4 linked regions of the Struthio camelus genome follow. The protein of the gene in region 1 purifies or fractionates together with the protein of each later gene. This does not show direct contact. Links are inferred from orthologs where the notes say so. Each region holds a gene or a part of one and is shown on either strand. Other genes may lie near its edges.

Region 1 (7,862 bases):
TGCTTTGGGAGGTGAGACCCAGGAGCAGAGGCTTTGTCCCCTCTCCCCGGCCCCTCTGCGTCCCCCCGGTGCCAGCCCGGCCCCCTCTCCTGCCCCTCGGCTCTTTCCTGCCCTGCTGCATGGGTTTGTCATTGGGGGGAGCAGGGCTTGAACCGGGCTGGGGGGATCTAGGGGGCGAGGAAAGGCTTGCAAGCCTTGATCTGCTCGAGGTTGCTGCCTCCGGAGAGGCCGGCCTCCGAGGAATATCTCTTTCAGCTATCGATTTCCCTTTATCAGATAGCAGGAATATGCATGGGGCCGAAATCCTGATCAATCCCCGCTCTCCAGCCAATCAATCAGCCGCTGCTGGCCGAGGGCTGTCATCGGAGGGAGCTGGGAATGCAAAGGGGAGAGGCTGAGTTTGGGCACGACCCATCCTTCCCGGCTGCGATCATCTCCCTCGCCGCATTTCTCATCTTCCCAGCTTGTCCAAAAAAATGCAGTGAAATCGCAGAAAAGCAGCGAAGCACGTTGGAAGGCAGACAGCAGCGGTAATCCCTGCTCCTCGCCCTCCTCGACTTTCGCTCACAAAGAGCCGATGCCCCCGGGGAGCGTCGCTCCCGATCGCGGCAGGAGGGGACGCGCTCCGGTGCCCGCGGCGGGGACGAGCTGCGTGTCCCCGAACGCGGGGGCCGGGGGGACCGAGCCGCCGGCGGGTGCCGGGGAGCGTGTGCAGGGCGGCGTGGGGAAGGGGGTTCCCGGTGGTGGCGGCGGTCCCGGGAACACACCTGTGTCTCCGGCGGGTCGATGCAGCCCCCGGCCCCGTTTACCCCGCGGCCGGGGGTACCTGACAGTTCCTCAATCACGGCCGGGGCTCATTAGAGGCGCTGAGCGGTGCAGCGGGCACTGGGGGAGCAGGGGGAAGGGCAGGGGGGAGGAGCGGCTCCGCGGCCTCCGTTATTGATTGCTCCGTAGCCAAAGGTCAGCGGCGTCCCTGCACGGGCTGGGGAGGAGGGAGGCGCTGGGGAGCGCGGGGCTGGCGGCCGGGGACCAGAGCCCAGGGGATGGGTGCCAGGCTGGGAGATGGGGGAGCCCGGAGAGCTGAGCCAGAGCAGGGAGCCCAGCACAGGCATCGGCCCGTCTTCCCCCTCTCCCAGCCCCGCGCGTCGACCGGTTTGCCTTACGCTCGGGGCTCCCAGCGTGCAGCCCCAGCATGCCTCAGTTTCCCCATCTGCAGATCAGGCCACGTCTGCCCTGTGACAGGAGCTGCAGGAGCCCCAGGGGCTGACGTGCCCCACGCGAGCCTGCGGGCGGGCGGGCAGCGCGCGCGGTGAGCTGTGCTGCACCTTCCCGGTGCGCGGAGCCGGTGATCGCCAGGGCGAGACCCCCACCAAGGGGCTCCTGGGCCCGTGGCGCGCTGATAACCCCGTTCCCCAGTGCCCAGGTCCCTCCTGCTCCCCTGAGCCCGTCCCAGCTCTGGCTTGCGGGGGAAAAGAGGACACCAGTCCCCGTTTTGGCCAAAGCTGTGGCTCGCCCAGCCGTGCACCCGGGTTGTACGCGCTGCCAGGCCCTGATCCCGCTGGGAGCGGGGAGACCCCTGCCCGCAGCCGGGCAGAGCGGGCCGGGACCCCCGGGCAGCAGCGCGTCGGGCACCCGCCCCGCCGGGCAGCTGGGCTCGCGCCGGCGCGGGCAGGGAGCGGGACGGGCGCACCGCGCTCCGGCGGGGCGCTCGCTTTGCTCGCCCCGGCCTTGCCGCGAGGGGGAAGATTTACAGGCTGTCAGAGCGAGGGCGAAAGGTCAGCAGGGGTCAGAAAGTCCATTTCGGAGAGGTCACTGTCCACTTCTTTCAATCTAATGAAGCCATTATTTGTGAAAGCGGCCGCTTTGCTGGCTGTTCCCTTGAAGCAGAGCAGAGCGCAGCGACGGGCTCTGAAAGAACAGGAAGGACTCCCCTTCCCTTTCACGTTCGCCATTCAACAGGCCCCGAAAACAAATACGCCACACACACAAATATTACGCGGGGCTGGGCTGGCTCTGCTGCGGGCTGTGTCGCAGGGGCTCGGCAGTGCCAGGTTTTATTGTAACGGGGAAGCTGCCGTGCTCAGGGCTGCGGCGCTGTTATAGAAAGAGCCGGTCACGGCGACCGGGCACAAATCGGCGGCCGTTGAGAAACTTGCCGCCAAGTTTGAACAGAATTGCAGGAAAGAGGCATCTGGGGCTGCCGGGCCCTGCGCCTGATCAGCTGCGAGAAGACGGGAAGTGGCTGGAGGGAGGAAGTCGATGCACAATGCTGGATTATTTTCCAAAGGATTAGTTTCACAGAAAGCGAGGACTGATTCCTTGCCACATCCTTCCCAAGCGAGCCGCCCGGCTGCTCTGCAGCTCTGCCCACCTCCGTCTGCCCTCTGCGTTACAGGATGTCCTGCCTGCCCCAGGATGCCCTCCGTCCACGGCGGGGTCCGTCCCCAGGCGGGCTTCCTGCAGCCGCTGGCGTTTCGGTGTCACCTCCACTGGTGGCAGAAGGTGCAGAGCTGTGGGGGATGCTTCTCAGGGCTGCTCGGAAAACCTTGATCCCAGCCCCACAAACACGGTGGGGGGGGGGAGTTGCCTGTTATCCCCCCCTGGGGTCTGGGCTTGCTTGCGGGCTTTTTCGCTTTACTGCTTCCAGGGGTGAAACAGGAGCAAAGCGCAGGAGCAAATTGTGCAGACGGTGTGTGTGGCACAACTGAAATTGCCCGGCAGGAAAGAGCGAAGAGGAGGAAACAGGAAAGGAGAGATGGGAGGAAAAGACACAGAAGCGTCTCCCTCAATTTTTTTTTTTTCTCCTCTCCTCTCTTTCTTTCTTCTTTCCTCCAAATTATCCCAAGCAAGCCAGCAAAAGGAGGACGAACCCGAGGCTGGCCTGCCGCTGCGTGGCCGGGAGAGGGTGCCAGAGGCAGCGCGGCGCCCGCCGCTCCCCGGGCCGGGCCGGGCCGGCGGGAGCCTCCAGCCGGGGCCGGGGGGAGCCCGGGGGCGCAGCGGGCTCCGCTCGGGCCGAGGCGGCGCCGCAGGGGCCGGTGCCACCGGGAGCCTCGGCCCGCGTCACTGCTCGGTAATAACCAGAAGTCATTAGTGTCCGGACCGCGCAGAATGAGAATGGGGGGGCGGGGGGGCTCGTTGGCGCGCCCGACGGACGCGTCCTCGTCGCCCCCGCGAACCCTCGTGGGGGGGTTGCCTTGCGGCTGGTGTGCTGAATCGGGAGGTTTGGCAGCTCCCGCTGCCCCGCCCGTCCCCGTGGCATCGGCCCAAAGCGCAGGGACAACCCGAGAACTTCCCTGAACCATTATTAGCCCTGCTGAGTGCTGATAACAGGCAATTCCTGTCTCCACAAGTATCTCTCTCTGGTTCATCTCCGCTGTGGCAGGTCGCAGCCCCCCCCCCCCCCCCCCCGTTTTTTTCCCAGGGCTGCAGACACAGGGAAAGAAAAAATGAAAAACAAAAATAAAAATCCGGCTGCTCCTTTTTGGCCCCAAACCTCACTTGTCGGAGCGCGGCGAAGCCTCTCAGCTCTGCCGGGAAGGGAAGGGGGGAGGCCGAGCCGCGGGGGGGCTCGGCGGGTCCGTCCTGCCCCCGATGGCTGTGCGGGCCAGGAGGAGGAGGAGGAGGAGGAGGAGGAGGAAGGGCGGGAGCCCCCAGAACCCTGGACAGGGAGCGGCGGCGCTTCAGCACCATGGCCAGGGCCGGCGGCGCGGACGCCGGGGCGGGCGGCGCCCCCACGCCGCGCGGGGGTCCCCACGCGGGATCGGGGGCCCGGAGGAGGGGGTGGGCAGGGTGGTCCCGCCGCCCCCCTAGAGTGCCCAACCTAGCAAGCAGGGTGTGCCCCGCTGCTCGCCGGAGAAACGGGGCCCACGCGGCTGGGAGTCCCGCGTGGGGCAACGCCGGGGCAGCGCAGATACGGCTCCCCACGGGGCGTTTGCGGGGGTGGAGGGGACTCTCCCCGTTTGCCCCTGCTTGGCTTGGAGGGGCGGTGCTGGGTGGTGTCGCCGTGGGGGCAGCCCACGCGTCGCCACCACCCGCCCGGCGGCGTGGGCGCAGCGCGCTGCGGGCCGGGCCGGGCCGGGGCGGCGGCGGCGGGCGGCGCTGTCCCTCCGCCGCCGGGCCCGGCCGGATGGCGAGCGGGGCATTGTCCGCTCCGCACTGGCCACCGGAAATGGAGGCGCTGGTCACTCGCCCTTTGTCCCCGCCCGGCGCGGGGGGGCAGCGGCCCGCGGCCCCGCGGGGGCCCCGCCACCCCCGGCCGCAGTCGCGGGCCCCGAGGGCTGCCCGGCCCGAGGAGGGCTGGGGGCGCAGCACCGGGGTGAGCTCAGGTCCGCGGGGGGCCCGGCCCGACGGAGCGCACGGCCCCGCCGCCGGCAAGCGGCCGCAGCCCCCCGCGGACCTGCGAGTTTTTCCCACCCGTTTGGGTTTTTTTTTTTTTTCCCTCTCCCCCCCGGGGGCGAAGGGCCCGCGGGTGCCCGGCTGCCAGGGCAGGATCGGCCCGGTTGTCCCGGGCCAACCCCGGCGGGTGTCCCCGGGGACCCCCGGGTCGCAGGTGGCTTCGCTTGCGCGGGGGTGGGGGGAAGCGTGGAGAAATGAGGGGGAAACTCCGTCCCCCCCCCCCCCCGGGGGGTCCCACGGCCTTAGCGCATCGGGGGGGGGGGGTCATTTCTTCGGCTTGACAGGTGGCCTCGCCCTGATTGGAGCAGCGGGGGGGGGGGGAGAACCTCCCCCTCCCCAAATCCCTCCCGGAATGTATCGCTATTAACGCGGAGGGGGGGGGGGTTAATTAGGGTCACGTGGGGGGGGAGGGCGGGCGCCCCCCGGGCGGGCTCGAACCCGCGGAGCGGCGGGGCGGGCGGCGCAGGGCCGGCGCGGCGGGATGGCGGAGGGGGGCCCCGCGCCCCCCGGCCCCGCGGGTGGGTGCCGGGGTGTTGCGAGGCGGGCGGGGGCGGCGGGGGCCGCTATTGTCTCCGAGAATTTGGGAGCCTTTGAAAAAACCCTCCCGCTCCCTCCCACCCCTATTGTTGGAGTGAAGATGGAGTCAAACCTCTCCCGGCTCCCTCCTGTCGGGGTCTAAGCTGTGGTTTTTTTTTTGTTGGTTTCTTTTTTTTTTTTTTTTTTTTTTTTTGGCTGGGCTGATACCCTCAAAGCTGGCCGAGGAGGAGGAGGGAGGAGGCGGTAACAGCCACAGCTCGGAATTTGCAAGCGAGTGTCGGGATGGGGTCTGTTTCCAACCAGCAGTTTGCAGGTTAAGTTATATTATTGTCGCAGCCCGCCTCGGCTCCGCGATTATTAATAACCCCATCGCGGCCCGGCCGCAGGGCCCCCGCGCAGCCCGGCCCGCTTGGGCCCGCTGCGCCCTGCCAGCGAGGCCGGCGCCCTGCGCCCTGCTGCCTCAGCTCTAGGGCTGCGCTTTGGGCTTTTGGGGGTTTTGTTTTGTTTTTTCCTTCCCCCCCCTCCCCGTCCCAGGATGAGCCCAGAAGTTTGGGGCTGACCCTGGATGCCGGGGTCGGTTTTGAACCGGGGGCTCCTGCTGTGCCCGGATGGCTGCTGATTTGGGAGGGGGGAATAGAGCTACTTTCTCCAGCGTGGTCTGCTGGGGACGGGGTGATTTCGGGTTGGTATTTTGGGGGAGATTTTCCTTTTTTGTGCTTTGTTTGTTTGTTTGTGGGGGTTTTTTGGGGAGGGAGGGATGGACTTAGGGGCTGCCAGCCCGGCACTGCCCGGGTCGTGCCGAAAGGAGCTGCTCTCCTCTCCTCGGGCTCCTGGAGCGATCCCTGCGCGCACACGGAGGCAGAGCTGATCTCTCTGTTTTGGGGATGGGGCGGGGTGCCTTTTCCCTGCATGCCAGCCTGCAGGACCCGAGCAGGATTTGGCCCCTCCAGGGGTGCTCGCTCCCCCCGCTGCCGGCTCCCTGGGGCTCCGGGGCAGGCAGGCAGCAGCCGTGCTGCGAGGGGAGGCTCGGGGGTCCCGGGGCCTGGATGGGGCAGCTGGCGGGGACCCTCAGCTCCCCCGGCCCCTCAGCTCAGCCGGTTCATGGGTCTGTCCCCAGGTGCGAAGACGGGCGAGGAGCCGGCGGGAGACTCGCCCAAGGCTGAGAACGAGCCCCAGCTGCTGCACGGCTCCGGCATCTGTAAGTGGTTCAACGTCCGCATGGGCTTCGGGTTCCTCTCCATGACCGCCAAGGGCGGCGCGACGCTGGACTCCCCTGTCGATGTCTTCGTGCACCAGGTACGCGGCAGCGGGGACGGCTCCTGCCCGGGGGGAGGAAAGGGGGTGCAGCCCCTGGCACCCCCAGGGGATGCCGGTCAGGATGGGGACCCCTATGCTGCCTCCGTAGGAGGCAACTGCCCCCCCCATGCCAGCATCCCCCGGGGGAGCTGGGGACCCCTCAGGCTTGGGGCTTCCCCCCCCCAGCCCCTGCCTCTCTCTCAGCCTGATGAGAGAGGGAGGGCAGGGACAGCGGTCGCCCCTCCGCAGCCCGGGTCTCATCTCCAGGGACCGGCCCTGTAAACTGATCCCGGAGCGATTTCATTTTCTCATCATGGTTCCCTGGGGAGCCCTTTAGAGCGGGGCGAGGGGCCCTGATCCGGGGGGAGCAGGTGCCCAGCGGCTTGAGAAGAGGGTGAGCGGCACATGCTGGAGGGGGGATGCTGGCAAGGGGAAAGAGCTGTCTGTTCTCCCCCCCCCCCCCCCCCAGCATTGGGTGCGAGATCCTGGGAGCCCTGAGCCGGGCAGGCAGGAGAGATGGGACTTTCCCCAGCTGGTGGCTCATCCTCGAGGGGGGATTTGACTCTGCTCGGGGCCCTGGGACGCTGGCCCTGGGAATTAGAGGAACAAAATGGTCTTTAACGCGGTGACGTGTGCTCGGTCCCCGTGCTGCGCTCTTGGGGGACAAAAGTCCTGCTGGAAACTTGCCCTGCTCCCCTGTATGGGGATGGAGGGGCACTTCCTAGCTGTGGTCGCCCCAGCTGCGGCTGGCACAAAGGCACGTGGGGTCGCACACGTGCCCCTATAGTTTCTATCTAATGCATATAACATATAGTAGCATATAGTAGTGACGGTCTTGTGTCGGGGTTGAGCTGCAAGCACCTTTCTGAGCAGAGAAGCCCCGCGCGCATCTGCTCTGTGATCCTGCCCCTGCGCTAAGGGGAATTGCCGCTTCGGGGGTGAAGGTGCTGCCTGCAGCAGCTGAGACCCGAGTCGGGGGGAGCTGGGGAAACGGGCTGGAAGACGGTGCCCAAATCGGGGCCATCGGGCAAGCACTGGGCAGCGCGGGAGGGAGACGTCGGGCTTGCTTGGAAACGTGGCTGCGCCGAACGCGCTGGCTCCCTTCTCCGAGAGCCCCGGGTCTGCGCGAGCCCCGTGGGAAAGCGGCGGCCGTCGGGGCTGGGCAGCACGGCGAGCGCTGGCCAAGGGGCACGGGTGTCTCCAGAGCAAACACAGGTGTTTTCCTTGGTGCGGTTGGGGGCAGCCACATGGGATTTGTCCCGCCTGGACTAATTTAGCAAGTGAACAAACGTGGGAGAGCTGCATCCCTTTTCCTTCATTTGCAGCATGGTGAGCCGTGGCAAGAAAACACCTTTTGTAGCAGCTACTATCCCGGACCCTAAACGTGGCTCCAGTTGTGAGCAAGGGCCCCAAATCGGCCGAGGGAGCGCACACAGCCCCGCTGTCCCTGCAGGCAGTCGCCGCAGCATCGGGTCCTCCCTGCAGGGAGCAAATGGGGCTTTGCATGTCAGTGCAATTTGGCGTGACCCAGCGCCAACCGGAGGAGTCTCCCCTGGGTCTGTTGCCCCCAGAGAGTCGAGGTTTCCGATTGCTCTTACTCGCGTTTCTGCAGGAAAAGGGAACAAGCCGGGCTG
Region 2 (7,922 bases), on another chromosome or scaffold:
GTGTTCTTGCCTTGGGCCTCTTCTACTGTATAATAGCACATTTTAGAGTTCAAAACATAGTCTCCTTGCTAGGCTTGGTATTTATTGATATCAGAATTGTCATTCAAGGGTTGCTGATGAAACTTTTTACTCCTCTGCCTCTACTTCTATTCCTGATTCCCCCAGCCTCCTTCCTACCATGCCAGCCCATACAAAAGGCTTCAGCCTCCTCAGCTAAGGGGTTTCTAAACAGACATAGCTTCTCCCTTCAGCATAGAGGCACTCTCCTGTCTTCTTAGGACAGTGTCACCTATATCTAGTCCTCAAATGCTGTTAGTTGCCAGAGTCGAGTGAATTAATAAGGAACACAGCTCTAAGCTGGACTCTGAGCCCCTTTGAGACGTGCTGACAGAGGAATATATTATGCCTTGAAATGACTTGAAAAAAATGAACTCTAGAGAGGGAGAAGAGCAGGAAAAAGCGTCAGTTGTGAGCTGCCGCCCTCTCCTGAGATCTCTCCTCCTGCAATGAGGGCAGCCCTGGCTCTCCCATGACCTCTTTCTTCCTGCAGGATAATGAAAGTCAGCACCCTGTAAAGGCAGTCAGAAAGTCAGCTGCTCTGCCACAGGGTTAGTCCTCCAGATAGATGAAAGGAAAGTGGTTTAGTGTCCAAATGAATGTCATGGCTTTAAAGAAGAATTAAAGCCAGATGTTTCCAACAGGCCTGTTGAGGCCAGCCTTTTCTGGCATATTTACCAAGCCACCAAGGAGACCCAGCTAGTGTCTGCAGCCCTCCATTTTGGGAACACTCTGTAATCCCAGCGGCTCCTCTGCGATTGCTGGAGGCACGCTGGCTGTCCAGAAGGACTGCACACACGGAGCTGGGGCAGAGATAATGCTGCCAGCTCAATATTTATTCAGTGTTTGTCAATATTTATTCCTCACCGATAATGGTGATGACAGCAGGGGTGTAATAACCAGACAAAATTTAGCACCTTCTGCCTTTGAACAAAACACTGGGGCCAAAAGGTGGCTTAGCTGTGCTGGCATCAGCTCTAATTTCACTCAGAGGCTTGCAGGCACAAGGCAGCACACTATGGTTCAGGGAATCCAGAACATAGTCCCTGTCCCAAGGTCTAACTTCATACTCCTCAGATAGGCCTGGTGTTTATTTTAACAGGCGGGTAAAGCTTTTGCGGTGCAGGGACTTCATCAGAGCCAGGGAGAGCGCGTTATATTCTTGTCTTGCACAGGGCTTGATGTTTGTACTCAGCTACCTGGTTGAAGCTAAGGACCATTCAGGTGCAGGTAGAACAGATGTAAAATATTAGGAAAAAGGAAACTGAATCCTTGCCTTAGCGCAAGTCTGGGAAAGATCAACATTTCCTACTTTGCTAGGGAGTAACCTAAACCTCAGGACTACTGGGTGTGTGGTTCCAGCTCACACCCAGCAGTAATTAATCTTGTTGCCAGTGTAGCTGCTCCAGGCCCTCAGACTACAATAGCTAGTCAGAATAGGTTTTGTATTTTTGGGTCTGCCTGGTGGTTATAGCATTCAACTTTTGGCCTCTGAAGGACAAATTCCTGATGCTGTGCCCTCAGCATTGCTTTGAGGTGGAGTTTCCTCTTGCGAAATCAGCCGGTGCTGAAAATGTCCTGTTGGCTTTGAAGACGGGGAAAGGCTTTGCTTAGCGTTGCAGACATATGTGTCACACTCCTCATCTTCCTCCTGCCCCGTCCTGACCACTGGGATGTTCCTGCTCTAGAGTAGCAGACAGGATATGCTTGAGATCCAGGGTGCTGTTGGATCGCCGTCTTCTACTGGGGAATAAATGGCAAATTCAAAAGGCGCACCCTAAAGCAAGCGAAAGTAAATATAGCAGAATAAAGTTAGGGGGCAGGAAATCTAAATTTCAACTTTTTTTTTTCTGTTGGTGCCCACTCTAATAATCAGATACTTTGACATATAATAAAACTCTATAGCCTGACTCCACAAAGCTGAGCAAACGATTGCTGTAAAAAAGGAGCTTTGTACCATGCCATTTGTTCTCACAACGCTGCTTCATATTTCAGTATATACATCACGTTCATTCTGCTCTGGGACATTATGGACAGAAGTTGCAATTGTTTCTGCTGCAGTTCCAAAAGCAACTGTCAAGAGAAGGCCTTTGGGAGAAGAAAGGTGAGCCAGACAGCAGACTCCATGACAGTGCTGGATGGACTTCAAGAAAAACTTTGCCTCACCACCCTCCTGTAAGGGAACAGTAGATGGTGACTAACAGGAAAGAAACTTGACCATGGTGTTAGCACAAAACTGTTTGTATTTGCCTTCTAGATATGTATAGAACCTTATCTGATCATAGCATGTACTATACCCTGAATTGTATTGCTTCTGCACCCTTAGAAGACAGACAAAATTATTGTTATAAAAAATGAATTATTTAGTAGCTGTACAGATTGGCTGTTTTTCCACCCCATCTGCACTTTAAAGCCAGTGTGGTTACAGTCTGTAAGAACTCTGCCAAAATTGGAAATATCCTGACTGATGTCCACAGCACACCGACCACTTTATTGGCCAGGCATTTCAACTAAATGAGGTGATCTCGCAGGAGCAGCGCAGCACCAGCTTCAGGAAAATGATCTAATCTGAGCATTAACAATGATTTGCATCACATCAGGGCCCGATTTCAAAGGTCCTGAGCTCCTGTAGGATATCCAGGTATTCAGCATGTCTGAAAATAAGGCTCATAACTGCTTTGTGCGACAATTTCTCCATTGGTTTGATATCTCAGTATAAGGCAATGGGTGCACTAAAAATTAATGAGCAGATTCTGGAGGTAAAGAGCTCTGTAAAACAGGATAATACTTAACTGCTTCACAGGGGGCATAAGGATTAATGAGTTAATGTTTGCAAAGTGCTTTGAAGATGAAAAGTGCTAAGTCTTATTACATCTGGTGGATGAAGTAAATGAGCATGAGGAACAGGTTCCCAATTCCATCCTGTAACTACCAGAAACAAGGTCTCTCTCTAAATGTCATAATAAATAAGGCTCTGAAGGTGGTTTGCTCTCATACTGTCCCTCGCAGTTTATATTCAGAGCGCCCCTGGCATCGACAGGACAGAAAGAAGGGTTTCACGCTGATCCCACAGACTGCAATGGGTCACTTCCCGTTTACTTTGCTCCAAGTTATTTATTCTTTTACTCTAACTTGCTTTCTTTCATTCTTATGTGTATGTCTTGGAGATGCTGTTCAGGGAAACTCCTGCAGAATCTGCCAGCTGGACCATCAATTTATAGTACAGCTTGTGCTACAGTTTCTAATCTCTTTGATGGACCTTGATTACTTCACTGGCTGTAACTTAAACACTGCCATTGGCTAGACCATAATTGCAGGTAATACTGTTAAGCAGGGTCTGGGTTCCCTTGCTGGGCAAGTGGCAGTGTAGGAGCATTGTCTGTGAAGGCTCCAAAACGGTATCCTTCACCCGAACATCCATTACAAAATGTATTACTTCCTTAACAGAGTATTTCTTGATCATCTAAAATCCCCAGACAACCCAAAACCTCTTAAATTTGCTGTATAATTTCCGTGGAATCTTTCCATGTCCTTTCTCTGTTGTGCTAAAGCAAAATGGTTTCAAGGTGTTTTTTCCCCTGCGGAAATCCCCTTCACGGCACCATTCTCCAATGCAACCCCACGTGGCCCTGCGTAACGCCACGTGTGAGCTGTCTGCGATTCCCAGTGTGTTTGATGCTTTCAGTAGGTGAGATCTGGTCCTTTGTCTCTCAGTCCGATGCTTTAATTTGATGGCTCTGCAACGTTAATATTAAACGTGCAATGCCTAGCATTGGAGGTTCAAGTTCCAGTGGGCTCTACTGAGTCCCTCCTGTGTAGATGAACTGATTTTACGCTCTTTGGCCTAGATTTACAAAGCTACTGAAAGACATCAGTGGATTTATGCCCTTTCTATATTGGAACTGTCTGGAGGAAATCCTGTGTCCTGTGACATGTCTGGCTGGAGCCGAGGTTTCCCTCCTGTCCCCAGTGTTCCCCCACCCCGTCCCTGGTGGTGGGAGCCCTGGCAGCTGTCGCAGACCCTTCCCCGTCCGTGGGGGTCTGGTACACATGGTCTCTGCACTTGGCAAGGAAAGGCATGCCGCAAATGCGGGGCGCAGCCCATCCCATCCCGAACGTGCTTGCGCGGGTCTTCTCCTCAGATAACGTCTGTATCCTGGAATCACCCCATCGGTTTAACCACGCAAATGCCGCAGAGGGTGCCTGCGTGCGGCGCGGAAAGGGGGGTGGGAGGGGCAGGACGGGTGCAGGTCCCGTTATATTGTATTTCAGGGAACAGCCACTTCACCTTTGCGCTATTCAACAATGACACCTAGAGGCCGCGGAGGGACAGAAGCCAACAGAGATCGGCGAAAAGAGGCGGCCGGCGCGGTGGGCGCGAAGCCAAGGCTGCACCTCCGGCTTCTGCGAGAAATCCGGGGACTCCTCCCTCGCCTTAGGCTGGTGCCTTCAACGGGCAGTAGAGTGTTGGGGAAAAAAAAAAAACCCAGAAATATATCTTAATCTTGCCCGCTTCGCTGACACTCGCGTCCCCGCTGCGGGGCCGCCCGCAGCCGTTAACGGCCGCCCGCAGCCGTTAACGGCCGTTCCTGTCAGAGCGGCCGCGGGCGCGCGGCGGCCGGCGCAGCCCATTCCGAGCCGCGGGGGTGGGGGGCGGCTCCTCCCCCTCCTCTCTCTGGCGATGGTTCGCTCGCCCCCTCCCCCCCGGGCCGGCCTCCCGCCCCGCCCCCGCCGGAAGCGGCCGGCCGGCGCGGCCCCGGAAGCGCTCGGCGTGCCCCGGAAGAGGCGGCGGCGGCGGCGGCGGCGGCGGCGGCGGGCGGGGGGCCGGGCCCTGGCGGCACAGCCGGAGGCGGAGCCCGAGCGTCCTTATCACTGCTGGCGCTGGCGCGGCCGCCGCCGCCGGGCAGCAGCAGCAGCAGCAGCAGCGGCGGCGGGGAGCGCGGCGCGGGTCCCGGGCCCGCCGGCCTCGGCGCGGGCGGCGGGATGTTGCTGTTCGTGGAGGTGAGGGCGCGGCGGGGCCGGGCCCGGCGGGGCCATGTGGTGACAGGCCGCGCACGCCGCGCGGGCGGGCGGGCGGGAGGGGACGGGCTGACACAGCAAATCCGGGGGCGGCGGGGGGGGGCTCGGCGCTCTGGAAGGTTCCGCCGGCGGCGGCGGGTGAAAGGCACCGCCGTGACCTTCCGGGGGAGCCGCCGCGCCGCGGCCTGGCCTGAAGGTTACGGCGGCGCGGCCCGAGGGCGGCGCCGGGCGGCCTTCCCCCTCCCCCCGGTGCTGGCCCCGGTGCTGCCGGCGGGCTGAGCCTGTCCGCGGCCTCGGCGGCGATGATTTAGCGGCGGGAGGCGGGCGGCCCCGCGGGGCGGCGGCGGGGAGCCTCGGCTCGGCCTCGCCGCCGCCGCCGCTCCCCGGCCGGGCCGGCGCCTCGCGGGTTTTTTCTGCGCGATCCGGTGAAAGGCAGTTTCGGTATTCGCTGGGTAAACGCGGCGCCTTGAAACTTCGCAGTAAGTTTGGCCCGGAAAGCGCGCAAGGGCGGACTGCCCCGCTCTTAATTGTGATTAGGAAATTACCGATGAGAGTTAAATCGGCTTCCACTGCAGCGTTTAGCTGAGGCGCCGTTCACGAATACCAAAACATATAGCGCCGTTAAGAACTTGTAAATGAAACAGGTTGAGAAACACCTTTGCTTTTTTTGAGCTGATCACCTTAGTTTTGAAATATACATTATTTGACTCACGTGGAGAGGAGGGGAAAAAAAAGAAAAACCACGTTGTGACCCCAGCGTGGCAAGTCTGAAGGTTTTGGTTTCACAGTATTTAGCTGCAATAGTTCCTCTTCAAAGTTAATCAGAGCTGCTGCGGCCTCCCTCGCCTGAGCCCCGGCGAGGAGCCCGGCCTGCGAGACGCGTGCCCTGGCGCAAGGGGTGCGCGAGCGGCTCCCGGGATTTGCACGGCTGAACCCCAGCAGTTGGTTGGCGAATAGGGCTCCAGCCGCTCGCAGGAGGTTGCGGCGAACCGGGAGCGCGTGAAGCCAGGCAGCGCACATCTGAATATTTAGCAAATCCTTTTAAAGCCCCGACTTGATTTATTTTAGTTGCTTTGTTTGATCGCCTTCCTTCTCTTCTGCGGATAGTGTTATAAGTTAGTTTTTGTGATCTTCCTTCAGGAAGCGTTGGTGTTTAATTTTGAGGGCGATCCTGACTTGCTTTTTCAAGGTGCCTTTTCGCTGCCAGGACAAGGAACGCAAGCTCTTAACTAGGTGTTCTGAAATGCTGTAGTCAGACGCTGTAAAGTAATGGTGCCTTTTATCCTAGGATCTTTGGGGTCGTCTGAAAAATACGGTACAGAACAGGATTTTATTTGAAGCCCTGAAATGCTTTTGGATTAGCTGAGTTATTTTATCTGTCAGTGATGTATTTTATGTTCAACTGACATAAGCATGTGCTAATTGTGAATAGATTCCTTCATAGCATGCACAGTGGAATTCTGTTTTCCTTAAATATTTTTTTTAGCTAAAATATTCAGTATAGTGAGGGATTTGTGTAAGAGTCAGGTTATTTTTCATTCCTTAATCTTTAGTGTAGATCTTATCTTTTGCTTTCAGCCAGGGCCAGCATATTGTTAGCATTTAATGATAATTAAGGTGCATTGGAAGTATTATTAAATGTGTTCTGAGAAGTGTAATTGCTAATGGCTTACTATGCCTGCTCTGAGGTTTGGTTAGCTGAATGTGGGTTTCTGAATCAGAAATGTAATTATATTAGTGCCTTACAGGGACAGTTGAAATCCATGCATTTCAGATGGATGAGATTCTGCGCTAATTGTTGTCAGTGGTGTTTCCCAGTGAGAAAAGCAGGACTGTATGAAGCACTAGATGTTGCTGGCCCCTTTTCAGCATGTGAAGCTTCCTGTTTCACTCTTGGTGGCAAAAAAAACCCCAAGTACACAGTTTGTATGGGACTGTGGCATTGAACACTTAAAGCCAGACAAGTCCTGGTGGACCATTTTCTGCTTTTGTTGCTTCAGATGTGTTCTCTCTCATCAATCTCTTCCAGGAAATCCTGGGATAGCAAAGAGGAATTCATAAAACTTCAGTGCAGCGCAGTTGTGTGAAGTCTTTCAGCTCCTACAGTGGTGTCTCCTTCCACTGCAGCAGTGTGGGGGCAGAGCTGCCGGCTACCCGTGGGTCCTGGCCTTTGCAGACCCTCCGGGGGAGGGGAGGAAGCAGCCTTAGCAGAGGGGAATTTTAGGGAGAGCTCCTCTGACCCCTCCTGCATCCAGGAGCTGCAAATAGCAAGCAATGTGGGGCAGTGACACAGTTGAGGGTGGTGCCATCTTCATCTGGCACAACTCGCACAAATGAGCATGCGCTTTACCTAGCGATAAAGGAGCCGCATTCTAGTTCTGGGGTGCTCGTGTTGGCTAATGAAAAAGCATTCTGTATTCGATTAAAGTAGTTCTCTTGTAACCATTAATGTTCATGCACGTTTTGAGAATTACCTGGGATGCTCAGAGTACTGAATAGTTTTTACATGATGTGCTGCAGTCAGGTCAAAAGGAGGTCCGATTGCTGCATTTGGTTTGAAACCAGAATACCTTAAAACAAACTCAGAATGTTTTCATTTTTGTTGGCTTAATTGGTTCTGTTAAATGTAATTTAGGCTTTTAGGAAAAATGTTTCTTTGCTGTCCTTTCAAGATGAGACTGATGCTTCAATAGTCGGTCTGGAGGAATTTTTGGAGGAGCAGCTTTGATGCACGTTTGTCGAAAGTAATGTAATCTAAACGGAAGCCCTGCTGAAGAGGACAGCTTTGTCAGCGCATGGATACCCATGAGTGTTCCTAACCTTTGTATCTCTGTAAAGCTTTAACC
Region 3 (6,857 bases), on another chromosome or scaffold:
TTACCAGGAAGCAGAAACTTCCCAGTCTAGACTAAAGTACCTGCCTTAACTTTCTTCCTACATGGTAGCCCGTAAAAGTTTTGACTTACAAACTAGGAAGACTTATGAAGCACACAGGTTAGACAGCCAAGCTATATATTCCTTCCTTTGCTTTGCAGAAGTGTATTTACACCAGCATCTTCCCAGCATGTAGCCTGTACAGGAATAGTGTCATAGTCCTGGTCATGATTTGAGGTCACTGAGGCTCAAGTCTTGTGAAGTTTATCCTGACTTTCATTAGGGGCATCCTAAAAGTGTATACCTGTATGCAGCCATTTACTGTGTGATATTATTGCTGTAAAAATCATCTACTCTTACTCTTTCTCCAGCACTCTCTAAGTGGCATTATGACAAAGTGCAGGGATTTACAGCCTCCTGTGGGGAAAAAAATGTAACTGCCATGTGATTTCACTTCTTAAAAGGCATGTATTTCTGCTGATCTTTGAAAGCTGTGATCAAACTCATAATAATACCTGAAAACCGCTACAAAGAAGAAATGTCTATGCAGCAATATCCCTTGCAAATGAGGAAAAAATAACTTTTAAAACCAATTATTGGAGATTTGTTTCCCTTAAAAAATAAATCCACCTAGCAGTCAGAGCTCGTTGCTATGGTGCTGCCTATATCGTTCTCCCATAAAAACTGCAGTGATCTGGTGAACTGACACCTATCTTGTGCGAGTAGGTGGAAACTAGCAGACCTGAAACTTGGCTGAACAGCCAACATTAGGCTGTCGGGATGCAGCGCGTATTAACGATCACAAATCAATGTCAACAAAGAAAAAATTTTGATTCCCTGAGGAAAATGGCAGTGCAGGTAAAGATGGGGTCTCTGCTGCAAAGCAGGGTATGTCTGCATCCGCATTTTAATTTAGATCACAAGTTTGAATCAGCACCCGCTGTTTTGCTCTGCAGGTCAGCTACTAGTGACAAGTACTGTGCTGGCCCTTCTGTGCTGGGCTGTATTTTTCCCACGAGAACAGGGGCGTCACCCTAATTTTCTTGAGAGAAAATGCCTGTAAAGCTACGTATGTGATCTCTTGATGAATATGCTCAAAGTGATGGTTATTTACGATTCTAGTACTCATGCAGAGGTCAGATGGCATTTAATGTGACAGCAAAGACAGAAGGTCTTTAGCAGATGTTAACATGCCACTGTAATAGTGGCATTATTTAATTGAACTAGATGTGTTCTGAAGCATTGAAGTAAATGTCTTTTTCCTCAAACAACAGTTTGAGATTATACAGGTTTCCATTTTGTATCCAACTACGTTCTGCTAACATGTATTGAATTTGGTGTCTGGTCATTTAAAAGCAGAATTGGTCATGCTTCTAGTACTGCTGTGGGCTATTCAGCAGGGCAAGATCGGGCTGTTTTCTGGTGAAAGACTAGCTATTGCCAACACATACACATTTTAGATTGATTTCACATGTGGGACTAGGGAGGGACTTAAACCTAAATTGAACCTAGCAAATTTGACAGAGAAGTCATTTGATGAGAATAAACATGAACACCCTGATGTCATTTTTTACAGTTAGCTTTCTCATTAGATCTGTCTTGTGGATTATAAAGTGGGTATCAGCTTTTTGTTTTAGGAGAAGATGGTATCTTAGCACTTCAAAACATACACACACACACGCTTACTCAACAGAAATGAACTCAGCTGCTGCTTTATATGAGAGTCCTTAAAACTTTTGCTTCCGAGTGATAAAAATAAGCCTCCAAATTTTCCCATCTCTATGGGATTTTTACTTTATCTCAAAAGTAAGTAAACAAAAAACTTCACAAGCAACTGTCAGCACAAATCAACACTATATTTCTTTATGAGTCTGCAGGCAGACAGCTTGAAACACTAACTCTGAAATGGATCTGAACTGTTCTGTTCCTCTGAACTGCGTGCAAGCCCAAAGACTTGGTAACAAAATAAAAGGTGGGTGGATGGGATAACTGTCTTGAAAACTTCTGACTGGGAGAGCATCATGGATTTTTGACTGATCTGACGAAAAGCATACAACTGAGATCATTGCACTCAGAGACCGGTGCAAATTTCCTGGTACCAAAAAAAAAAAAAAAAAAAAAATCGACTCCTGTGCTGGATCAATGTTAGTTGGCCTTTAAACCTTACAATTTGAAACTAACGGAAGAGACTGTGTGACTCTTTTCAACTTTAAACCTACTTGTTTTCATTGAACGGTCCAATGTACTTTGCTCCATTTGGAAATGTGTAGGTTCCTACTCCATGAAACATGTTGTCTTTGAACTCGCCTTCATAAACTGCCCCCGAAGGATGTTCCAGCCTTCCTGTGCCATTCATCTGCGTTTAATGAGAGTTGGAGGATAAAGAAAAGGAGGGTTAATGTTTATGTTTACAGTATTATTTCCTTTCACTACAGTATTCTTCCAGATAACTGAAACCTGAGTCTGCTATCATACTCAGATAAACGGAGAGGACAGTGACTGTTCTTTCAAACTTAGTCAGTTCCTGCTTCTACAGGGACTTCAGATACAGCTTAGAAGTTTTTGGCCAACCCCAGTGCCCAGTAAACCCTTCCTCTGATGGCAATGTCACAGGATCTTCAGAATTTACGCAGCCAGGGAACTGCTGTCTCCAGCCCTACAAATAACTCACCTACCCTGACAGCCTGAGGGGCTCATTAAGTTTTCCAGCATTTCTTTCGGTGGATCAAGGCAGAGTGAGCCTTTCGCTTGTTCACCCTAGGCCACGAAGCCATCCCTTGGGATTTAAATCCTTTACAGCTCATTTGTACCATAATCTTAACTCTTACTGCTGCGCAAACGTTTTTGTAAGAGACTGAAGAAAAGGGCAGACTGGATCTAAAACAGCCGCAGGACACCGTTTCCTAATTTCAAACCCTTGTTTGTCTCGTTCCAGGGCTGTCTCCTCTCCGACACCAGCAAAACCCAACGAGTTTCCAGTCCTTGCTGATTAATTCCTGGCGAACCCAGCGACGGCGTGTCTCCTCCAGACCAGCGCTCCCCTGTTTCGTTCCGGGAGGTGCGCCCGCGCCGAGGCGGCGAGGCCCTGCCTAACCCGCGGCGGCCCACCCGAGCGGCGCTTTCGCAGCGGGTGAGCCGCGCCGTGGGAGGCCGCCCGGCGGGCTCCGGCTCCGGCTCGACGCCGCCGGCGGCCTTCAGCTCCGGAGGCGGCGGGATGTCGCAAGCCGCCGGACGCCCGCGGGCTTCCCTTTCCGGGCGGCGGAGCTGAGGCGTCGCTCCTCTCCTCGGGGGCGCCGGCTGCCTCCCGCTTCGCCACGCGCCCGGGGGGAACGCGTCCGCCGCGAGGACCCTTCGGGACCCACCTTGTCGTTCTGCCAGCGGCCCACGTAGGTGAGGCCGCCGGGGCTGGTGTGCACGCCGTGGCCGCTCCTGCGCAGCGCGCCCTCGCCCGTCCTCGCGCACTCGCCCTCTGCGGACACGAGGTGCGAAGGAGGGAGCGGGCGGACGGCCGAGGCCGTGAGCGCCGCCGCCGCCGCCGCCCCGCCGGAGCCCTTACCGTACGTGTCCTTGTTGGGGAAGACGAAGGACACCTTGAAAAGCGCCGCGCCTGCCGGCGAAGGGAAGGCGGCCATCACTGCGGTGACCCTCCCGCCCTCCCCTCGGCGGGAGGACCGGACAGGCACAAAGGCAAAGCAGACCAAGCTCTGTCCCAACTGCTGATTTTTCCTTGTTTAACTAATAGGGTGGTTTTTTGGTTTTTTTTGTTTTTTTTTTGGGGGGGGGGGGGTTGTTACCGGCCATGGTTGCTAGGCGGAAGTGTGGGCGGTTGCTAGGGAGCTCGGCGACCCGGAAGGGCAGCGCGGGCGCTTCCGGGTCAGCCGGCCGGGGCCGAGCCGGCCCGAGAGGTAGGGAGGGAGGGCGGAGGCAACCATCGGCCCCCGGGAGCGTTTGTGGGCCCCGCCAGGAGTGGGGAGGGGGCTGCAGCGGGGTCTCGGGGGGGGGGGAATGGAGGGAGGCGTTGGGGGTCCCCAGAGGGGTCTGGGGCAGGAAGGGGGGTGGGGAGTGGGGGGGGTGGAGGGAGGTGTTGGGGATCCCCAGGGGGCAGGAAGGGGGGGGAGGTTAAGAGTGGGGGGTGTGCAGCAGGGTCCCTGGGGGGTGGAGGGAGGTGTTGGGGATCCCCAGTGGGTCTGGGGGAGGAAGGAGGGCCGGGATTGAGGGGGTGTGCAGCAGGGTCCCTGGGGGGTGGAGGGAGGTGTTGGGGGTCCCCAGTGGGTCTGGGGGAGGAAGGAGGGCCGGGATGGGGGGGGGTGTGCAGCAGGGTCCCTGGGGGGTGGAGGGAGGTGTTGGGGGTCCCCAGTGGGTCTGGGGGAGGAAGGAGGGCCGGGATTGAGGGGGTGTGCAGCAGGGTCCCTGGGGGGTGGAGGGAGGCGTTGGGGGTCCCCAGTGGGTCTGGGGCAGGAAGGAGGGCCGGCACTGTTGGGGGGGGAGGTGTTGGGGATCCCCAGGGTGTCAGGGGCTAGGAAGGCGGTTGGGGGGACAAGCGTGGCGGCCCCTGTGGGGTATGGGTGGGAGGAGGAAGGAGGCTCCTGGGCCCACGGAGGGCAGCATTCGGCCACAGGGCTGGGTGGGCCCCCGGGGCGGCCCTCAGCAGCACAGGGTGGTCAGACAGCCCAAGGAGGTGGGTGAGGCTGTGGTCCCTGGTGAACACAGGGGGACGCTGGAGTCTGTGGAGGGGTCACGAGACAGGGTGCCCCCGGTGTGGGGAGTGGTGCTGTGCTTTGCCGTGGGCTCTGTGCTGTGCATCGAGGGGAAGGAGACCCCCAACCCTACCTGGCAGCGTCCCTGGGGACCGCTGCAGTGCCTGTGACTAGCTGCAGTAGGACATGCTGCCCACAGTCCCCCTCAGTTGCACCAGGCTGCTGTGTGCACGTTCAGGCCCTGAGTGGAGTCCACTCCTCTGTTAAAATCCTGCCTAGTCCTGGTTGATCGCCAGCGCAGAGAGCTGCTACAAAAAGGAGGTTTGCTTCTTTCCAAGTCTAGAGCTGTTGCCACTCTCGGAGCCCTCATTTGAGCTGTTGCTCATTCATGGCTCCGTTAGTCCTTGTCCTAGCTCTGGCGACCCCAATGCAAAGATCTGGGTAGTAAGCCCTGCCGGACCGCCCGGAGCTGCTCGCCTGTGCCCGCACAGCTTCCTTTTTGCAGGAGCGTAGTGCAGTCAGTATGCAGCTGGGGCAGACGTTAGTGTTGTGCCGTTCTGTTGTCGCTTGCAATGATGGCTTTAAACGTAGGGGCCTGTTACGTCAATGCCGCTGAAGATCCCGCTGTGGGAAGGAGAGGAGGGTCCCTGTTTTCTGGAAAAGGTCCATAATCGTCTCCTCTGCCCCGGGCTCCACTGAGCATTCATCCATCTGGGCAGCCTCGTGCAGAGGGGGAATGGGTCAGGAGCAGGCTGATGTGGAAACACATTGGATTTCTGACTTCAACTTCCCTTGACCTTTCGCTCCCAGCCCTGCAAACTCCGGAGTGGAAAAGTGGCAGGGCGCACCGTGCTCTCCTCTGTGAAGGTCCCCCCAAAGTTTAGTCCTTTGCTCACCTGTATCCAAGGAAATCCCATCAGGGAGACAGAACTGGAGTTCCAGGGCTGGACAGCAGTGCTGCTAGGCTCAGTATTTTTTCAGAGGCCCTGCGCTTCTTGCTTAGAAAAGCTGTGAGGGAAAATAGGATCCCTTTTGTTTTTTAAGCTGAATTTGTTTAACAACGTTCTGGAAGAACGTATTTTACTTCAAGGGTGTACAAATAATGAGAACGGGTAGGTAGTTAACTGCAGTTTGAGAGGGAATCCCCTCTTGTCATATGGAAAAAACAACTGAAGTAGCATGTACCAAGTCCCTTGTGGCACGCTAAATCATCCTCATAACTGAGCGGCATTATTTTCTTCTCCAGCAAGACAACATGAGTTCAGCAGGGAAGAGGAGAGGAAAGCCCAACAGAGGAGGAGGAAGAGGAAAAGGAAGAGGAGGAGGAGGAGGGAGAGGAGGAGGCAGCAGCAGCCGCCATTCAAACAAGTCTCAACTTGGTGGAAATAGGAAATGTTCAACAAAACTTTGGGACGATGGAGATGATTTTTGCCTCTTCGAGGAACCAAGGCTGGAATCCAGGTTCTTCCATTAATTTGAGGGTATTTGCTGCAAAGGTGTTTGGGATATTTTGGAGCTGCTTTTTGGACGTTTTCGAATGTGCAGAAGTGCAAAGGGATGCTTAAATATTCAAGCTAAAGCTGTTGCAGTGTAAAGCTACTTTAACATGTCTGTTCTAATTCGCGTTGTTAACCATTTTGTAGCTATGAATGGTTTTTTGGTTTTGTTTTTTGTTTTGTTTTCGTTTTTAAGATTTGAACCTCTCTGTTAATTTTCTTCCTTGCCTGAAAAGTAATTTCAGAGCATCCTTGATCAGAACACACTAGTAAACACAGGATAATCATTTTGGGGTGTTACAGAGGTGAAGTTGGACTGTGGAAAATAAACAATTTAGAATAAATTTGTTGAATGTCCTGTAGCCAGTCAGGCCCAGAAATACTTGCTTGTACTGTAGTCTGAGCTCACCTTTATCTAGCAAAGCATTTATTAGCTCAGTATGGACTTGGCATAGGATAAAATGAGTGTATGCATGTGCACAGACACCCTGATCATGTAAAGATGAACCTAACTAAATGCTCTTTAGATGACAGAAGCGTCTTATTTTAGTTTTCTTGTTTAGAAATACAGGGCTGCGTCCTAAAGTTCAGCTTCGCTTATCTGTTCAGTCCACGTTATTTCAGCCAGGCAAATAACAGTCATTGTTTTGTTTTATTTTTATTTTAA
Region 4 (7,295 bases), on another chromosome or scaffold:
AGGAGGAGGGAATGCTTGGAGCACCCCCTGCAGATAAAGGCCTGAGGGCTGAGATCTCATGATGCAGAGACGTGTGCAGTTATTGCCTGGCAGAGGTCAGGGCTCCCTTTTGCACCAGACTTCCTTGCACCAGCTCAAGACCATGGGCTCCCAGGCTCTCTGCAGAGGGGAGCCTGGTCCAGAGGGAACGGGCCTAGTCCTGGGGAGCTGCTCCCTGCTCCAGCTCTGCAGCTCCAAGTTCCTACAGCTGTGGGGTGTATGCACAAATGGGTGGGGGAGGGAGGGGGACTCATCTACTACTCGCTAGCCTGCACATCTGCCCTCACTTCTTGGCCTTGCCCTGAGCAGCGACAGCCTCCATGGCCTTGCGCACTGTCTCCTCATCCCCCAGGAACTGCATGGGCTTGATGGGTTTCAGGTTCTTGTCCAGTTCATAGACAATAGGGATCCCAGTGGGCAGGTTCAGCTCCATGATGGCCTCTTCCGACAAGCCTATGAACAGAGGCACAGTCACTCTCAGGGAACCAAGCACAGCCACAGGCCATGCAAGGGAGAGCTCCCTGCTCACACGGTCCTGGGGCAGGGCCGGAGCAGTGGGGAGCCACGCAGGGCTGACATACCTTCCAGGTGCTTGACAATCCCACGCAAGCTGTTGCCATGGGCAGCAATAAGGACTCGCTTTCCCTCTTTGATCTGTGGGACTATTTCTTCATTCCAGAAGGGCAGGGCCCGGGCAATGGTGTCCTTCAGGCTCTCACATGTTGGCAACTGGTCCTCTGTCAGGTCAGCATAGCGACGGTCCTGCCGGAAGAGCCACTGTCACACAGCAGCCCAAAATCCCTGGCCGCTGCTGTGCATCTATCAGTCAGGGGCTCAGAGGCAATACCAGCTGGCAAAGCAGCTGGAGGAAGTGATAGCAGGGCCCTTATTCACCAGCACTCTGCCCAAGGACCTATGTAAAAGCAAAGCTGGGCTTGCAGCTACACACCATCAGGGTCACCGTTGGTGTGACCAGAGAGCAAACAGGACAGGGGCACTGCAGGCTAGGAAACGTCTTTGAGGTAAACTTTGAGACTGCACTCAGCTAGGCCTAGGGAAGACAGCACTTCACACACTCTAGTCTCTATGCACAGCAAACATCCAAGCATTGGTCATGGGACTAATAATTAACACGAATCCCCTTGAATCAGTCTGTGCAACGCCCAAGGGTTCAATCTCCTCAGGGACAGCACAGGGTGAACTGAGCTCAACGCCATCCATCACCACGTTACAGTGACAGACACCACCACAGAGGTAGAGGTGCAGAGGAACAAAGGGCAGTACCAAGAATGCCCCACAAAGGAAGTCAGATCCAGCACCGGCAGCTCCCTTTCTGAGAAGAGGACCAGCCACAGGGCTCCGAGTACCCTCCAGGCTGCTTTTAGCTCAAAGGCTCCTAGGCCAAGGAAAGGAGGCAGCAGCCTGGGAAAACATGCCTTACCTTGCTGATGGTGCTGTAGAAGGGGTGATCTGGCTGCATGGGAGGTGGGGGGATGTCATATGAGCGCCTCCAGATCTTCACCTGGGCCTCTCCATGCTTAGCAGCTGTTTCAGCCTTGTTTAGGCCAGTGAGCCCTCCGTAGTGCCTCTCATTGAGGCGCCAGGTCCGGACCACAGGCAGCCACATCTGGTCAATGGCATCCAGAACGATCCAGAGGGTGCGGATCGCCCGTTTCTGCACAGAGGTGAAGCAGATGTCGAATTCATAGCCAGCATCTGAAAAAGATCAGAGCCACAGACATCAGAGCGCAGCACCACACGGCAAAGGCAGGAAAGAGCAGCATCTCTCACCCAGGCACCAGGCCAGCACTCCCACCCTTGCTGCTGTGAAAGCTGAACTGTTGTTTCAGTCATTCAGCTCACTACTCCATGCACAGCCAGTGCTCTTTGCATTCAACTGCAGTGAGCAAGCTCTGGAAAACTCCTAGCCCTTTTTCTCTGTGACCTGGAAGCATCCAAAGTCAGGAAAAAAAGCTAAAGTACATTTGATGGAAGAGCCCATGGCTCGTGCCATCAGGCCAGAAAGAGGATGTGCACCTCAAGCCAGTAAGTCTAGAGGATGAGGCTCCCCACTCGTGCCCGCCAGCGCAGCCCCGCATACCTGCGCCACGTGCACACCCCACCACACAGTCGAGCTGCGCCTGTCAGTGGCACAGCAGCAGCTTGCTGGAGTGGAAGGACATGGCGCTTACGTAACCAGAGGGCTGACGGTCCAAGCAGCCAGGGCCTTCCGCCCCAGCGCCTGGCAAACCCCAGCCTCGGCAGGGCCGAGGGTGCGCAGGGGATGCTGCAGGCACCGAGGGCGGGGGCAGGCACGGGCTAGCGCTCGCCACCTCCGCGGGGATTTACCAGCCTCCCCCGCAGCGTCAGCGCAGGAGCCGGCTCCGCCCAGCGCCGGTGTCGCCGAGCCAGGGGCCGGGGCCCGGAGCCGGCACCGAGGGCTCCCATCCTCCCGCTCCCTGCCCCCCCACCCCCAGCACCGCCCCCTCTACCGGGGCGCACCGGCCCCGCCGCAGCCCTGCCCGACCCCAGCTCTTAGGCGACCTCGCCGCTCGCACAGGCACCGACCGAGCACCAGCCCCCGGCCCGGCCGACCCCCGCCGAGTACCGGGACGAGTGGCGCGGCCTGGCGGCGGGGGCGGTGACTCATCGGTGCGCCACCCCGCCCGGCAGAGATTCACCGCACCGCGCCCCGCCGGCCGCCGCTACCGGCAGGGGCGGCTGCCGCCCCCCGGCGCCCTCACCTCGGAGGGCCTCGCCGCCGCGCTGCGCCTCTTGCTGGCCGGCGGGGCTGAGGTCGGCGTCGTACCAGCCGCTGAAGCGGTTCTCCAGGTTCCAGGCGCTCTCGCCGTGGCGGACAAGCACGAGGCGGTAGGCAGCCATGGCGGGGCAGCTAGGACCGTTAGGACCGTTGGGCTCGAGGCGCTCCGCTCACCGCACGCGCTCCTTCCGCTCCCGCCGCCGCGCGCGACTGAGGAGCCCCCGCCCCGCCGCGGCCCGCGCATGCGCGCTCGCGCGCCGCTGTGGCGGCCCCTCCCGTCGCCGGCTGAGGGCGCGCCTGCGCGCCGCGGCGGCCGCCAAAGGCGCACGTAGCGCATGGCGAGCCCGCGAAGGGCGGTGCGACCTTCGGCGGTCGTGACGTCGCCGCCGCCGCCGCCGTAATGTCGGGCACGCGGCGCACCCGGCAGCCGTAGTGCGCAGAGTAGCGGCGCCTCTACTCTGGTGCTGCCTCCCGGCCTGACTCACCCTCACGAGGTGGCTGCTCAGGGTGGCTGGAGCAGCTCTGTGCAGGCTGCTGCCCCGGGCTGCCTGCAGGTTCAGGCAGATGCTGCTGCCGGGGGGGTGGCTGGCTGCACTCCAGGCCCAGCCACAGGCTCTGCACACACGGGGCTCCGCTTGGGAGCCAGGGGCTTGCAATGTCCTTGCGGATGCTGCACTGAGACTGTCTCATCTGGTTGTACTTGTACAGCTCCTTGTGGAAAATCTCATGCTGCATGTGGTGCTTGCTCAGCTCCTGGCAGCCAGGGCAGGGATGGAGAGGGCAGGAGCAGAGCAATGGGGAGAGCAAAAAAGCAGTAAAACCCCCTTGTGGCAGGGCTCTCCTACTCTAACTCTAGGAATAGAGTAGGGTCTAATGGGTGAGAGACAGGGAGTGAAGTGGGTCTGGACTCCCGGTTCCCATCCCACATCCAGGAGGAGGCTGGAGCCCAGGGGGACAGGGACCCCAGATGACCGGGGCACTGTGCCTTTGCTGGGTGGGCAGGCAGCCATGCTGCTGGGCTGGGCAAGAACCACTGCACCAGCTGCTCCTCTGGGTGCACGTTGAGGGAGTACGGGGCCACTAGCCTTTGGGGTCCAGAAAGCCTCAGTGCCCAAAGCCAGATGAGGAGGCCTTTGTTAAAGGTGGCAGAACAAGAGGCTGTGCCCCATCCAGCTCCCCAGGACACTGATACAAGACTATCCTGTCTCCAGCCCATGCAAACCAGGCAGAGCTTGCATGCGCCACACCAGCCCCCATCCTGGTCCCAAACTGCACGGCCCGCGCTTCTCCGGAGGCTGCCGCAGCTCTGGCTCTCTTCGTCCCCTTTGGTCTCCCACCCAAGCGGTAACCGGGCGCCACCCTGCTCAGCTTGGCTTGGCAGGCGCCGCTCCCCCGCCCACCCCAAAGGCGTCGCCACAGCCCTGTGGGCACCCTGCCCTCACTTAAGATGGTGCCGGGCGCCGGAAGTGGGCGTGCGGCCGGGCCGGGCGGGAGCGGGGGGGGGGGGGCACGTGTTGCCGGGTGAGCATGGCGAGGTGCGGGCGGCTCCGTTCGGGCGCCGCCGCCAAGCTGAAGCGGTGGCGGAAGGGCCACAGCAGCGACTGCAACCCCGAGACCCGCCGGCACCGCCTGGCCGCGCGCAGCCGCTTCTGCAGCCGGCCCGCGGGTGAGGAGCTGGGGCCGGGGCTCAGCCGGGGCCTGGGCCTGGGCCTAGCGGTCGGGGGCTGGCGGGGGTCAGGGTCAGGGGCTGGCAGGGGTCGGGGGCTGGCAGGGGTCAGGGATGGGGGGCTATCGGGGGTCGGGGACTGGCGGGGGTCAGGGTCAGGGTCTGGCAGGGGTCAGAGGCAGGCAGGGGTCGGGTTGGGGGTCTGACAGGGGTCGGGGGCTGGCGGGGGTCTGGCAGGGGTCGGGGTGGGGGGCTGACAGGGGTCGGGGGCTGGCAGGGGTCAGGGGTGGGGGGCTATCGGGGGTCGGGGACTGGCGGGGGTCAGGGGCTGGCAGAGATCAGGGGCTGGCAGGGGTCGGGGTGGGGGTCTGACAGGGGTCGGGGGCTGGCAGGGGTCAGGGGTGGGGGGCTATCGGGGGTCAGGGGCTGGCAGAGGTCAGGGGCTGGCAGGGGTCGGGGTGGGGGTCTGACAGGGGTCGGGGGCTGGCAGGGGTCAGGGATGGGGGGCTATCGGGGGTCAGGGGCTGGCAGAGGTCAGGGGCTGGCAGGGGTCGGGGTGGGGGTCTGACAGGGGTCGGGGGCTGGCAGGGGTCGGGGGCTGGCAGGGGTCGGGGGCTGGCAGCAGTCAGGGTGGAGGGCTGGTGGGGGTCGGGCGCTGGCAGCAATCAGGGGCTGGGGGGGGGGTCAGGGTTTGGGGGCTGGCTGGGGTGCGGGGACGGGGCTGGACCTGTTTGCAAGCTGGGGATGGGAAGGCCGAGCATGAGGCAAGGGGTCTGTGTGGGGTGGGTGGGGGTCGGAGCCCTGCTGAGGGAGCCCGGCTCTTTGGGGTGGGCAGCTCCTTTGCTGATCTGTAGCAGCTCCTGGCATTGCCTGAGCCTTCCTGGGCTTGAGGTGATCCTCTGGCTGGAGGTGGGACTGGGCTGGCACTGGGAGGTGCAGGGGTGGGCTGGCTGCGGAGCACCCCATCTGCTTGCCTCAGCTGGTGGGTGCTGGGGCATGGTGTGAGGGGGTGAGGTCCTCAGTCTTCCTCTGCACAGCCAGAGCCTGGCTGGTGCCTTAGGATGAGACCTTGGGTCTCAGGCTTCTGAGATCCTGTGGGTTGGGGCAGGCCCTAGCGCCAGGACTGGAGAAGGAGAGCAGAGAGTTGCTCATGTGCCAAGCTCCTGCCCTGGGAGGCAAAGAGAAAGCACAGAACTAGGAGGAAAATCATCTGTACAAAAGAACAAGATTTACCCTTGTTACCTTCACCATAACACTGCATGTGCAGGCTTGGAGTGGCAACATGCATCTCGTGCTCCCTGTGTAGGCATGAGGAACATCCTACAACAATATCTGTCACCCTGCCTAGAGCCTAGTGCAAGGCCCCAGCTGGAGCCACCAGGAGCTGCTGCAAGGCAGAAGACATAGCTTCTCAGCAAAGTAACTTCGTAATGTCCCAGCAGCTTTGGGACAGAAATGATTTGGGCTTCCAAAGGCATAAGGCTGTGGCTGTAAATGCTGCGGTGACACCTGGTGCAGAGAGTGAGCGTCAGGAACAGGATACTGACTCCTGTTCTGCGAACCGCACAGCCAGGGCTCCTGGCTGAAGATGGGTGGAGCAGGGTATGAGGAACATCTTGCCATTAAAGCCTTGGCACGCTGAGATGTGTTTGTGAGAGTCTAATGCTCTCCTCTGTTAGAGGAGATGGCTGGACTGTGTTCTGATTTGTTGTCACAGCGATAGGAGCTCTCTTGAGTTACTGCTCTGTCTCCTCTTTTCAGCGTGGAAGCAGCAGTCGCGTCCCACATGCTGGAGATAGCTCCAGCAAGGTTTATCTGGCTGGGAGGGCAGAAGAGGTGGAGTACATAGAGATTTCCAGGCTGTGTGTTAGAACAAGGCTGGCACAACGTGACTTAGCTGAGCATGCCTGTTTGTCTCTGGCAGAGAAAAGCAACTTGACAGTGGATGCGGTGAAGCTGCACAATGAGCTGCAGTCAGGGTCCTTGCACGTGGAGCAGACGAGTGACAGCGCTCAGCTCCGCATGGAGGAGGAGGATGATGGAGAGGCTGCCACGGAGAAGTCCTCTGGCACCTTCCTGAGTGGACTGAGCGACTGCACCAATGTCACCTTCAGCAAGGTGCAGCGGTTCTGGGAGTCCAACTCTGCTGCTCACAAAGAGGTACTGGGAGGAGCAGGGCTGTGTGTGGGGATGGCCCACCGGACAGTCGGGCTCTACTGCAGCCCGTTAGGCCAAGAGGACTGACCTGCTCCTCTTGCTGCTCACCTAGATCTGTGCTGTGCTAGCAGCTGTGACGGAGGTGATCCGCTCACAGGGGGGCAAGGAGAGCGAGACGGAGTACTTTGCTGCCCTGGTGAGTGACTGTCATGGCAAGGCGGCATGGAGGGAGTCGCTGTGGGCAGCCCAGATGTGCATGTGGTGACCTGTGCACTTGGGAGGGTTGGTGGTGGAAGGTGCTGTGCTCATATCTGAAAGGCCCTCAGTGTCCTTCACCAGCAGAGATGCTGCTGGGCTGCTCCTGGCGCTCTGCTTGCTGGGCTTTGCTGGCTGCTGCGGTGGGGCTGGGGGGGGGCTGGCCTGGATGCGAACCCTCATGTTCTTTCTCACTCCTCCTCTGTTTCCAGATGACCACACTGGAGGCAGTGGAGTCTCCCGAGTCGCTGGCTGCTGTTGCCTACCTGCTCAACCTGGTCCTAAAGCGGTAAGTCCCCAGTAGGGGGGAAGGGAAAGATGCCCAGGCCCCTGGCCCTGTTTTGGGAAAGAGGCTGGCACGGTCTCCCCACTTCCTGTTTGGGGGAAGGACTGGACCCTGGCAGGCTGCATATGTGC

What was found.
Region 2: the proteins of LIN28A (region 1) and LARP4 purify together in Homo sapiens (affinity purification with mass spectrometry; 3 studies listed by BioGRID and IntAct, with this or other methods). This does not show direct contact. The link is inferred for Struthio camelus from reciprocal best matches to the Homo sapiens genes LIN28A and LARP4.
Region 3: the proteins of LIN28A (region 1) and DHX57 purify together in Homo sapiens (affinity purification with mass spectrometry; 3 studies listed by BioGRID and IntAct, with this or other methods). This does not show direct contact. The link is inferred for Struthio camelus from reciprocal best matches to the Homo sapiens genes LIN28A and DHX57.
Region 4: the proteins of LIN28A (region 1) and RRP12 purify together in Homo sapiens (affinity purification with mass spectrometry; 3 studies listed by BioGRID and IntAct, with this or other methods). This does not show direct contact. The link is inferred for Struthio camelus from reciprocal best matches to the Homo sapiens genes LIN28A and RRP12.

What each region holds. Positions count from the first base shown.
Region 1 is NC_090964.1:7,062,449-7,070,310, reverse strand, and holds the start of LIN28A (protein lin-28 homolog A), read left to right. Parts: upstream 1-4,860; 5' UTR 4,861-4,876; coding exon 4,877-4,913; intron 4,914-5,011; exon of another isoform or gene 5,012-5,214; coding exon of another isoform or gene 5,215-5,245; intron 5,246-6,049; coding exon 6,050-6,228; intron 6,229-7,862. UniProt on the Homo sapiens protein: RNA-binding protein that inhibits processing of pre-let-7 miRNAs and regulates translation of mRNAs that control developmental timing, pluripotency and metabolism.
Region 2 is NC_090969.1:1,409,060-1,416,981, reverse strand, and holds the start of LARP4 (la-related protein 4), read left to right. Parts: upstream 1-4,909; 5' UTR 4,910-5,040; coding exon 5,041-5,058; intron 5,059-5,415; exon of another isoform or gene 5,416-5,555; intron 5,556-7,922. UniProt on the Homo sapiens protein: RNA binding protein that binds to the poly-A tract of mRNA molecules. Associates with the 40S ribosomal subunit and with polysomes. Plays a role in the regulation of mRNA translation.
Region 3 is NC_090944.1:139,719,674-139,726,530, forward strand, and holds the start of DHX57 (putative ATP-dependent RNA helicase DHX57), read left to right. Parts: upstream 1-3,845; 5' UTR 3,846-3,902; intron 3,903-4,578; exon of another isoform or gene 4,579-5,015; intron 5,016-5,940; 5' UTR 5,941-5,949; coding exon 5,950-6,155; intron 6,156-6,857. Other genes in the region: MORN2 (MORN repeat-containing protein 2), read right to left, coding at 2,217-2,353, 3,360-3,466, 3,554-3,629. UniProt on the Homo sapiens protein: Probable ATP-binding RNA helicase.
Region 4 is NC_090948.1:16,970,205-16,977,499, reverse strand, and holds the start of RRP12 (RRP12-like protein), read left to right. Parts: upstream 1-4,280; 5' UTR 4,281-4,327; coding exon 4,328-4,466; intron 4,467-6,390; coding exon 6,391-6,626; intron 6,627-6,735; coding exon 6,736-6,819; intron 6,820-7,090; coding exon 7,091-7,167; intron 7,168-7,295. Other genes in the region: PGAM1 (phosphoglycerate mutase 1), read right to left, coding at 323-492, 621-801, 1,481-1,755, 2,784-2,922.